2 linked regions of the Schizosaccharomyces pombe genome follow. The gene in region 2 interacts genetically with the main gene of each other region. Each region holds a gene or a part of one and is shown on either strand. Other genes may lie near its edges.

Region 1 (5,036 bases), on a different chromosome or scaffold from region 2:
TTCCTCACAAATCGCGTATCCAGACTCTTTGATGCTAATATAATTAGAATCAGAACGATCTACAGCAATTGAAACACTAGAACGGCGAATGGGTTTAGATTTTCCAGTTGCTTGGGATGCATAAATTATATATGTAGCAACGGAGCGAATATTTTCAGAAACAAAAGCAGAGGTCATCAAAACTTTGAAAAGGAGGCGTAATATTGGAAGCAAATCCTTATGAAATAAACAATTTCTCATTGCCGTTAAAAGTTTTTTTAATATTTGCATTTTCATTAATCGTTTAACGTTAAAACCGGCATAATCATTATTCTCAATAAGAGAAACAATATAACCTAACTGCTGAACAAATAAATTAGAATTAGGTGCCTTGGACCATAAATCAAAATCTAAAATTAAATATCGAAACAACAGTGGATTCATTACAAGAGGATGCTTAAAGCGCGTATGGTGTACCCCAGACATTAAAGCAATAATTTTAAGAGTTTCTTCGGATACAAGAAGATGGGACTTTGAGTGTAAAATTTGAGCCAAAATTTCAAAAGAATGTGTTTGCTCAACATTCTCAGAAAACCTCCAGTTATCCTCAATTGAAGAGAAAAATACTTGCAATCCAAAGTTGAGCTCTGCCTCAGTCTCAGCGGTACCGACAAGTTCTAGCAGAATAGATGAACCACCTATATTGTAAATGGCATCACTAATACTTTGCATTATGATTGGAGTAACAGATCCAGAAGATACACCGAAGCTAGGTTGTTCAGCTGAGAATGCTTTATCATAAGACGAGACAGCTCGATTTATATAAACATGCGAATAATATTGATTCTCCAACTTTTTTAACGTTTCCAAAACAGAAAAAGAGCAAAAGTCAGAAAGTTGTAAGTCCATAATATCAACATAATCCCTTGCACAGCTCATGAAAGCGATGGGAGAACGAGAGAATGCTTGAATACTATGCAGTAAATCTTCGGTATTTGATTTAGAATCTTGGATTTCTAGAGTAAGAGCAGTAGACGCTTTGTAAGTCATATAATCATTGATTGGACCTTGAAAACATCCCGAATAACTTGGTCCTAGACTACTAATAATTGCTATTTGCGATGAAACTAAAGGAACCGGAAAAAACCGTGTTGTCCCTATTAATAGAGGTACTAGTGGAGGCACTTTCAAGGAGTCGTTAGTTTTATAAGACTTAGATGTCTTTTGAGATGCTGCTCCAGTGTTCTCTGAAACAAGTGCATCAGTTTCAGCTACATTAGGTGCAAGGGTTGATGGGGTAGATTGGTTCCTTGATCCAATGCTGGGACCTAAAGATACGTATAATGGCTGTAAGGTAGAAGAAAGAAATGGGTAAGGGCAAGCAGCGCGTTCAACAGCAGAACCATCAATATATAGTTCCAAGTTGGGAAGAGAAGATTTTTCGTTACGATGGACTAAGGTAATCAAATGCCACGAAGGTGGATTTAGACTAGGATTATCTTTGTAAATTTTGGAAAAAAAATTGGTAATAGGAGTTGAAAAGTTAACTACACAGGTATCTTTACTTGAGCCAATATGAACAACTACAGTCTTTTTGGATGCATCAAGTAGTAAGCGAAAAAGGGTTGATTTCAAAAAATCAGAGATGAGAAAAAGGGTAGTTGGGGCATAATTGCCATCATCGTTCATTAGAGACTCAATGTTTAACCAAAGGGAAACAGAATATCCATTAATTGGCATTACAGGAGAGCTCAGCGTAAAATCAATAGAAGAGTAACCTTTTGTCGAAGGATTAAAATAAAAAGATGGTGCAACAAGGTGGGAAAGAGCTTTTAATAACCATGTTCGAAGGAATTCAGACTTGGTTTTCAAATATGTACGTAAAACCTTTGCAGTAGAAGCATTCGACACTCCAAAAGTGGCACAATGTAATGTGATCTCATTGAGCAAATCTTTCGAAACATCCGACAATGGAAAAGAAGTGGGAGGCTCGAAAAGGTATGTTAAAAGGAAATGCATAGTTTTGGAATAACCAATTTTAATAGCGTTTTCAGGAGAAGAACGAATAAGTGCACGAAGGTGAAGTAGGATAAGATTGAAAATGGAGATAGAAGGACAGAGAAGAAGGACTTGGGGTAAAACATTAGGGAAAGCTAGCGGTTTGATGGAAAGCTTCTGTATTGCAGCTTCCACTACGCGAGATAACTCAACAAGAGATGCATTGGTATTATCTTGCAAAGAAGGTACAAGCTTCAAAAGCGAAAAAGTACTATCGTTTTGGGCAAAAGACAAAACAGCCAGAAGTAGCCTAGTTTTTAGGTAATATGCACTACATATCTTGGCCTTCTTTAAATCCTTACGATCTTCATCATAATCAACGTCAGAAGATATTGAAACTGTCTCCGATTGGGAATCAATCTCTTGCGCCCCTTCTGACTTTAAATCTTCATTAGGAGAAGCAGCTTGAATAGAAGAATCTGTCTTGGAAGAAGTACCTATTGCATAAATGGAAATATTGGAATCATCCTGTATAGCACAGAATGAATAAAACATTCTTCGAATAGCGAGCTCAATCCATGCCTCAATATGTTTTCTGGATAGTAACCAAGAACGCAAGATAGTATAAGAAGTTGCAATTCCTAATATTTGCAAGCAGCATTCAAAAATATCAAGACTTAGTAACGATTGAAAGTTTAGCTTAGTGACAGCCTTCTTAATGGCTGCAAAGCCATTGTCAGTAATAAAGAGTTGTGGAAAAAAATTACTGGGAATATCATTTCGAATGAACCCCCTCAATTTTCGTAACTCTTCTAACAGAACTTTTTCTGAGGGACAACCCTCAAGCCTCGATAACAACTCAACGCTTTTAGAATAGGCATTCGCCTTTCTGTCCATAGCAGCTTACTTGAATAAAAGATAGAAGAAAGAACCTAACAAAAATATTCGTTCCTAGCCCCTGGTGCACAAGTTTCGTATTTATTTCGATAAACTCTGGTCAAGTGAGTGTATATTATGAATAGGTCATGTGAGTTGAAGCAGAGAGAAATGGTTTTAAAAAAGAAAACGATTAATATATATAATCGATGAAATTAATGAAAATTGATGCTTGCTTAAATTTATCGTTATTGAAACTGGCAATAATAGTTCGTAGTGGTTGGCGGTGAAGTATAGCGGTGATAATGATTTCTTGCCAAACGAAGTGAACTATGAAAACTTGCTGTAGAAGAGAACTACACCAAATAGATAGTAAGTAAAGACAATTTATTTCTATTTCATTTATGCTTGTTGATTTTGAAGTAGGTGTCATCATTCTAAATTCATCTTATTGATAATTCAAAAACTTACAAACAACACCTTTCTAGTTTTTTCAAGTATGTTTACAAACTAAAATGAAAAGCAAAATATTTATTATATTTAGCAAACAGAAGTGTGAACAACATCGAAAGACACTTCATGAAATGAACGCTTCAATAAAACAGTCAAGCACGAGATCATGCACCCAGAACACGAACTAAAACAAACCATTCATCCCTCGAGCATTAAGTCATTGAATTTAAACGCATCTTAAGCATCCTAAGGTTAAACGACGCTGATTAAATGAGTTCAGCTTGGAAAAGACGGTATCTATAAAGAAAAGCAGCAAATAGCTGATAATATATTATTAAAAGTATATGAATGCAATGCCTTCTAATTAGATTAAACCCCAAGGCTCATCACACATAAAAAAGTAACCAATTTGCTTATGGCGTCGTAAAAAAAAGGCTTTAAACCACGCATAATCTGTCACCAGGATTCGTGTTAAGCGAAGATAAAATTATGATCATTTCTGCAGAAAATTCTCTCACTTTTTTCTGTTCCTGGCTCGAAACATATATGATAATGTATGAATAGATTCACAGGTAGTAAAAACAAATACCAAATGTATTATTAGCAAATGTACTAATATTAAAAAATTTTTCACCAAAACTTGCCATAATGAGGATATGATCATGAGGTTAGCATAGAATTTAAGTCAACACAAGATCTTCAGCCAAATAAGCTATGAACCCTCAATAAACTATAAGCAAAGTAACTTTCGCCATCCCAAGGAAAAAGCCCTGCGCTATCAACAAAATTAAAGGACGTCTGGAGGATAAAAGGCAAGTATTGGAAGACTCCAGATGAGAAGAAAATATAAAAATAATGTGCCCATGCTATATAATAATAATATGAAAGGCTAATCAATTAGGTCTGTTGATATATTGAGCTCCGGTTGCAGATGGATCATTTATAACAGGAACGGTTGTATTAATGTCTCCGCCTTTTTCATCAAAGTTTTGTTTTTGATAATTTCTAAATGAAGACCTCTCTGGCGGCGGATTAATAGCTTGAGGAGTTGCAGACAGTTGTTGCTGTAATTGCTGCTGATGTTGTTGGTCTTGTTGAGTCTACAATTTAAATGTTAGTAAATGTGACTATGTAAACTTCATAAAATATCATATTACATTGGTTTTCAATAACTCGGAAACCCAGAAAATAAAAAAAGCACTATTACCAAGATATCTCATACCTTTCTCTTCAAGGTCCAATCAAACATATAGTCAAACTCATAAGATTGCCGACAAAAAAGATCTCGGAAAAGCTTGCGAAGGTAGGCGTAATCAGGTTTGTCATCGAAACGTAAAGATCTCGTGTAATTGAGATAAATTGAGAACTCCTGAGGGAATCCCCGACATAAGACCTCTGTAGGCGTAGAGATCTTCTTCTCCATAATCTTTTCATACTTTTGCTTTTTCGTGGTAGCCTTCAATCCCTGCCAAGGCAGGCTACCACGACAAAAGTAGACGAGCACATAACCTAAAGATTCGAGGTCATCACGGCGGGATTGTTCAATACCTAAATGAGTATTGATGCTAGCATAGCGTGCAGTACCTGTAAGATTCTTGTTCTCGCGATAAGGAATGTGCAGGTGAGTTTTGTGATCACGATACTTCTTAGCCAATCCGAAATCAATTATGTTAACTTGATTTCCTCTTTTACCTATTCCCATTAAAAAGTTATCAGGCTTAATATCACGA
Region 2 (4,098 bases):
AAGGTAGACAAAGAAAGCAAAAAAAATGCTATGCTTAAGATTCTTTTCAAAAATAAACTAACGTGAAACGTCAGAACCGAAACCCCCATAATTTAATAATGATATGTACAAGTTAACAATGACAGTTGTAACTGAAAACAGGGCAAATTTACCCGCTTGAGACGAATTTTACAGCAACAAAAGTGTAACGTTTTTATTGATAAATTTACCGGAGCTTTTCTTTCAATGACTTCCAACAACAAACGCGTCTAAACTAACAGTGGAACAATGCAAGTGTAAGTTATCACAAAAGCGAGAAAGGCAAAGCATTCACAAAATATGAAATGCTCAAAATGGGAAAATAAAAGCTTTTGTTATTGTTAGCCCGCACCTTCAAAACAACTATAACAATGTAGGATTGAATGGCGGAATAAATCAGGCAACCATACCAACTTGGAGTAAATCTTCTTGATCTTAAATAACAAAACTTAATTGGTTTTTTTTAAAAAGATTATGAAAAGAGCGAAGACTGCCAATTTATGGATATGTTATGTTGATGTCAGGTTATAAGTTTGACGTGGAACAGACGATGTGAAACCAACGCAGTAATCGTTACTTACCAAGAACCAAACACATAAAAAATGAGTTCTAATTCCAATACAGATCATTCTACTGGTGATAATCGTAGTAAATCTGAAAAACAAACGGACCTAAGGAATGCATTGCGGGAAACCGAAAGTCATGGCATGCCTCCCCTTCGTGGGCCTGCTGGTTTTCCTGTAAAGTATGCTCTCAAAATTTTTTAATATTAATTCTAATACAATATAGTCCTAGACCATTCTCTCATGGGGGCAATGCGAATTTGGATAGATTGAATTTAAAAGAACCCGTTGATTTGGAGGGTCCAAAAGACGAACAATAAAACCCATATGGACTTTACGGACTGAGTAATTGGCCTTATTCGTTTGTAATGAATTGAATCAATTGATGACTTCTATATATGCGCTTCATAAAGCAAAACTTCTATAGTAAATTTACCCTTTTGTAAATGATCCTTATCGGACTTATTTAAAGTGCGATTATTCAAATAAATTATTTAATTCTCTTTGTTAAATGCAGCTCTATACTCTAACATCTTCCTTCAGTAAATATGGTCATAATTATATAGATGTATCAATCATCAAACTGTGTTTAAGTTGAGAAGAGCTTTCGAAATATCATGAAAATATCCTCATAAACTTAAAAATAATACACGTATGATAATTTAATAATAAATAATTGAATAACTGTTTTTTTCAGCAGCAATAGGATCTGGTCTGTCTTTCCAAACGGACCAGGTCGTCCCAATTCGTAATTGAAGTCCACCAATTCGAAGTACTGGAAGGGTGAACCGGTCTACGGAAACTTAAATCACCATATTGTATACCTAAGGATTGATCTTGGGGATCAATTTCACCCAACTCAATCCTAGTTATTATGGTGGAGACAACGGAAAGAAAACACTCTTCAACGTTGCTTCCTGTATAAGAACTAGTTTCATGCGCACTAGATATATGCTTTTCTGAGCAAAACTCAGCTGCCTCTTCAGTAGAGACTTGTCGTTGGTTTTGTAAATCAGATTTGCTACCAGCCAATACAACACATATTGTTGATGGAGCCATAGCTCGAATATCAGACAGCCAAGACGACAATTCTTCAAACGAGTCCTTGTTTGTCACATCATAGACTAAAACAGCACCTGCTGCTCCACGATAGTAATTCCTAGCCACGCTTCGAAACTTTTCCTGACCAGCAGTATCCCATATTTGTAACTTGATTCTTTTTTGCTGGTTTCCCATTCCAACACTTATAATCCGACTTGCGAAATCGATTCCAACAGTATGTGATACTTGATCATCCCCTAATTTCCATTAAAAACTTGAACATTGTTAAATTTGCATGTACTTACATTGATTCTTAACAAATCTCTGTAACAAGCAGGATTTGCCAGTTCCCGAAGGACCTGCAAGTACAATCTTTACCAAATAGTCATATGATTCTTTGTCCATAATAATAAATAGAATTTTTGGCTTTCAATTGTTCTCTTCTTGACATTTCAAGCTCGTAGGCTCCGATATTGGTATGATGCTCTGGATCACGTAGCACTAACAAATGTAGACAACACCAAAAATATTATTTATTAACTTCTGATTAAAATGTTAAGAGGAAAATGAATTTCTAAAGGACGTAATATGCAACTTCACTTGATTGGCAATGAAACTATAACTCTAAGTTCTTGCATCTACATATCTACACCTAAAAATTCAGTTCTGTACTGTAACAAAACTAACCATCCAACATCAGCTTACAGAATGATTATATGAACATAGAGAAAAAAATAAAAAAATAAATGCAAATTGACTATCCTATGTCCAAGCCTCTATTGAACTGTCACAAAGCACACAAGCATATAATCAAAGTCAAAATGTCAGAAGAATCATGAAGAAAAGCCAAAATTTGCGCGTTATTTGGAATCTATGGGTACGAAATGAAAAAGTGAATAATTAAATGATCGGTCGGTGTGCTTGAGCAATGATGTAAAACTAATTGAAATTCTGCAACAATCCAGGCTTCTCGGCCTAATCTCAAGTATAAACCTCACATTCTTTCAAGCGTGGCTAACCGATTAAAGATTCTTTTGTTTTGACAACGCTAAACACTTAGTTAGTTTTGTTCCTAAGTTGTTCGCAGATTAATCATTATGATGAAACTTACGATTATAGCAAAGTAGCTTTTCGATTAAGTCGACATGAGTAAGAATCATACGACGACAACAATAACGTTGAAGGCCAAGTTTATCCAATGCCTCACCCTCTGTGTTATCCTCTTGAAGGAGTGTGAGATAGGTGTCCCACTTGTCACCAATAACCTGCTGTATTAGCAAGCAAATAATTAAAAAAATAATAGATAGAAATTCTTTGAACAAATAGAAATAAGCGTTCGTAATATACAAACATATGTATAATCGCCCCAAAAGTGGATCAGTCCTCGTTGGAATCAGTAGCGAAAATGGGGCTATTTTTAAACTAAATCTAATACCAAAAAAACTATAATCTAATGCTTCAACTTAGGCTAATCTTAAACTATATACAATACACGAAGCAATTGTGAAATTTTTCTACCGATCCATAAAAAATGTGAATCGCGTTCAACCACCTCCTATAAATAGCAATTTGTTTCCTTACCTTTCCACAAGAAAAGCAGCGAATAGGAATGATCATTTTTCTAACTTTGAACACCCGTCGCCTTCTTGACTTTGTTAGTGTTGTTGGCAAAGGGAAGGTAACCGTGCGTATTGGAAGGAGGTGTGTTCGCCAGGAAAAGTTTTATGCTACAACCAAGTATTTGGCTTTAACCAACCACCATTGCGTTTTAATTCCAACCGGTTTTATTATTTTTCGTTGGAGGAATAAAAATTATGGAAGGGCCTAATTCTATGGAAGTTGGTTCATTGGAGGTCAAAAAAAATGATAAAGACCCTTGGTCTAAAACTGCATATTTAGGGGGTCGTTTGGTTTCAAAGATCCCTGCAGTTTACTCTAATGATAACAAGTATGTTTTTTTTTATTAAAGGTTGGGTAGCCTTGAACAGACTGCTTTTGCTCAATTTTCTTAATTGAAATATATAACACGAAATGATCTGTAAGAATTTCATTCCTGTCTGTACTTGCCGCTGCTTTTCTAGTATTTTTCAGTTTTTAAGTTATTTTTACTAATTTTTAGATTTGTATTTCTTACTTATGATACTTTTATTGGAATTTTCTCTTTGATTACAGGAGATTGTATCAATCGAATTTTCTTTCCCAATAATTTGGCCAATTTATTACCCGTAGCTGTATTATTGTCTCCTGAGAATGCATTTGAGCTATATGTGATTTTTCAAAGCGGATACGTCTGTGTTCATGACTGGTCGAATTCTGAACTTTTGCGCACCATGGAGATTTCCACTCGTGTCCATGCAGCTTCTTTTTCCGGAAAGCTATTGTTTGCTGTAACCGATACTCCTGCTTCAGACTCTGCTTCTTCACAAGATCGATTTACTCTTTATGCCCTTTCCCCCTCCACTTCTAAAGAAGGCAG

The links.
Region 1: of ypt4 (region 2) and lvs1, changing one suppresses a phenotype caused by changing the other (phenotypic suppression), as found in Schizosaccharomyces pombe (one study listed by BioGRID).

Annotation. Positions count from the first base shown.
Region 1 is NC_003423.3:1,851,390-1,856,425, forward strand, and holds the start of lvs1 (beige protein 1), read right to left. Parts: upstream 3,136-5,036; 5' UTR 2,875-3,135; coding exon 1-2,874. Other genes in the region: serine/threonine protein kinase (CK1 family) Hhp1, read right to left, coding at 4,200-4,406, 4,529-5,036. UniProt on the Schizosaccharomyces pombe protein: May be involved in protein sorting and cell wall formation.
Region 2 is NC_003424.3:4,947,996-4,952,093, forward strand, and holds ypt4 (GTPase Ypt4), read right to left. Parts: upstream 2,118-4,098; 5' UTR 2,028-2,117; coding exon 1,928-2,027; exon of another isoform or gene 1,880-1,927; coding exon 1,275-1,879; 3' UTR 902-1,274; coding exon of another isoform or gene 808-901; 3' UTR 764-807; coding exon of another isoform or gene 621-763; 3' UTR 546-620; downstream 1-545. Other genes in the region: protein Hrd302, read right to left, coding at 1-89; SPOM_SPAC1B3.20 (uncharacterized protein), read left to right, coding at 621-763, 808-901; DNA-directed RNA polymerase subunit Rpb10, read right to left, coding at 2,645-2,670, 2,734-2,887, 3,204-3,239; U3 snoRNP-associated protein Nan1, read left to right, coding at 3,437-3,570, 3,742-4,098.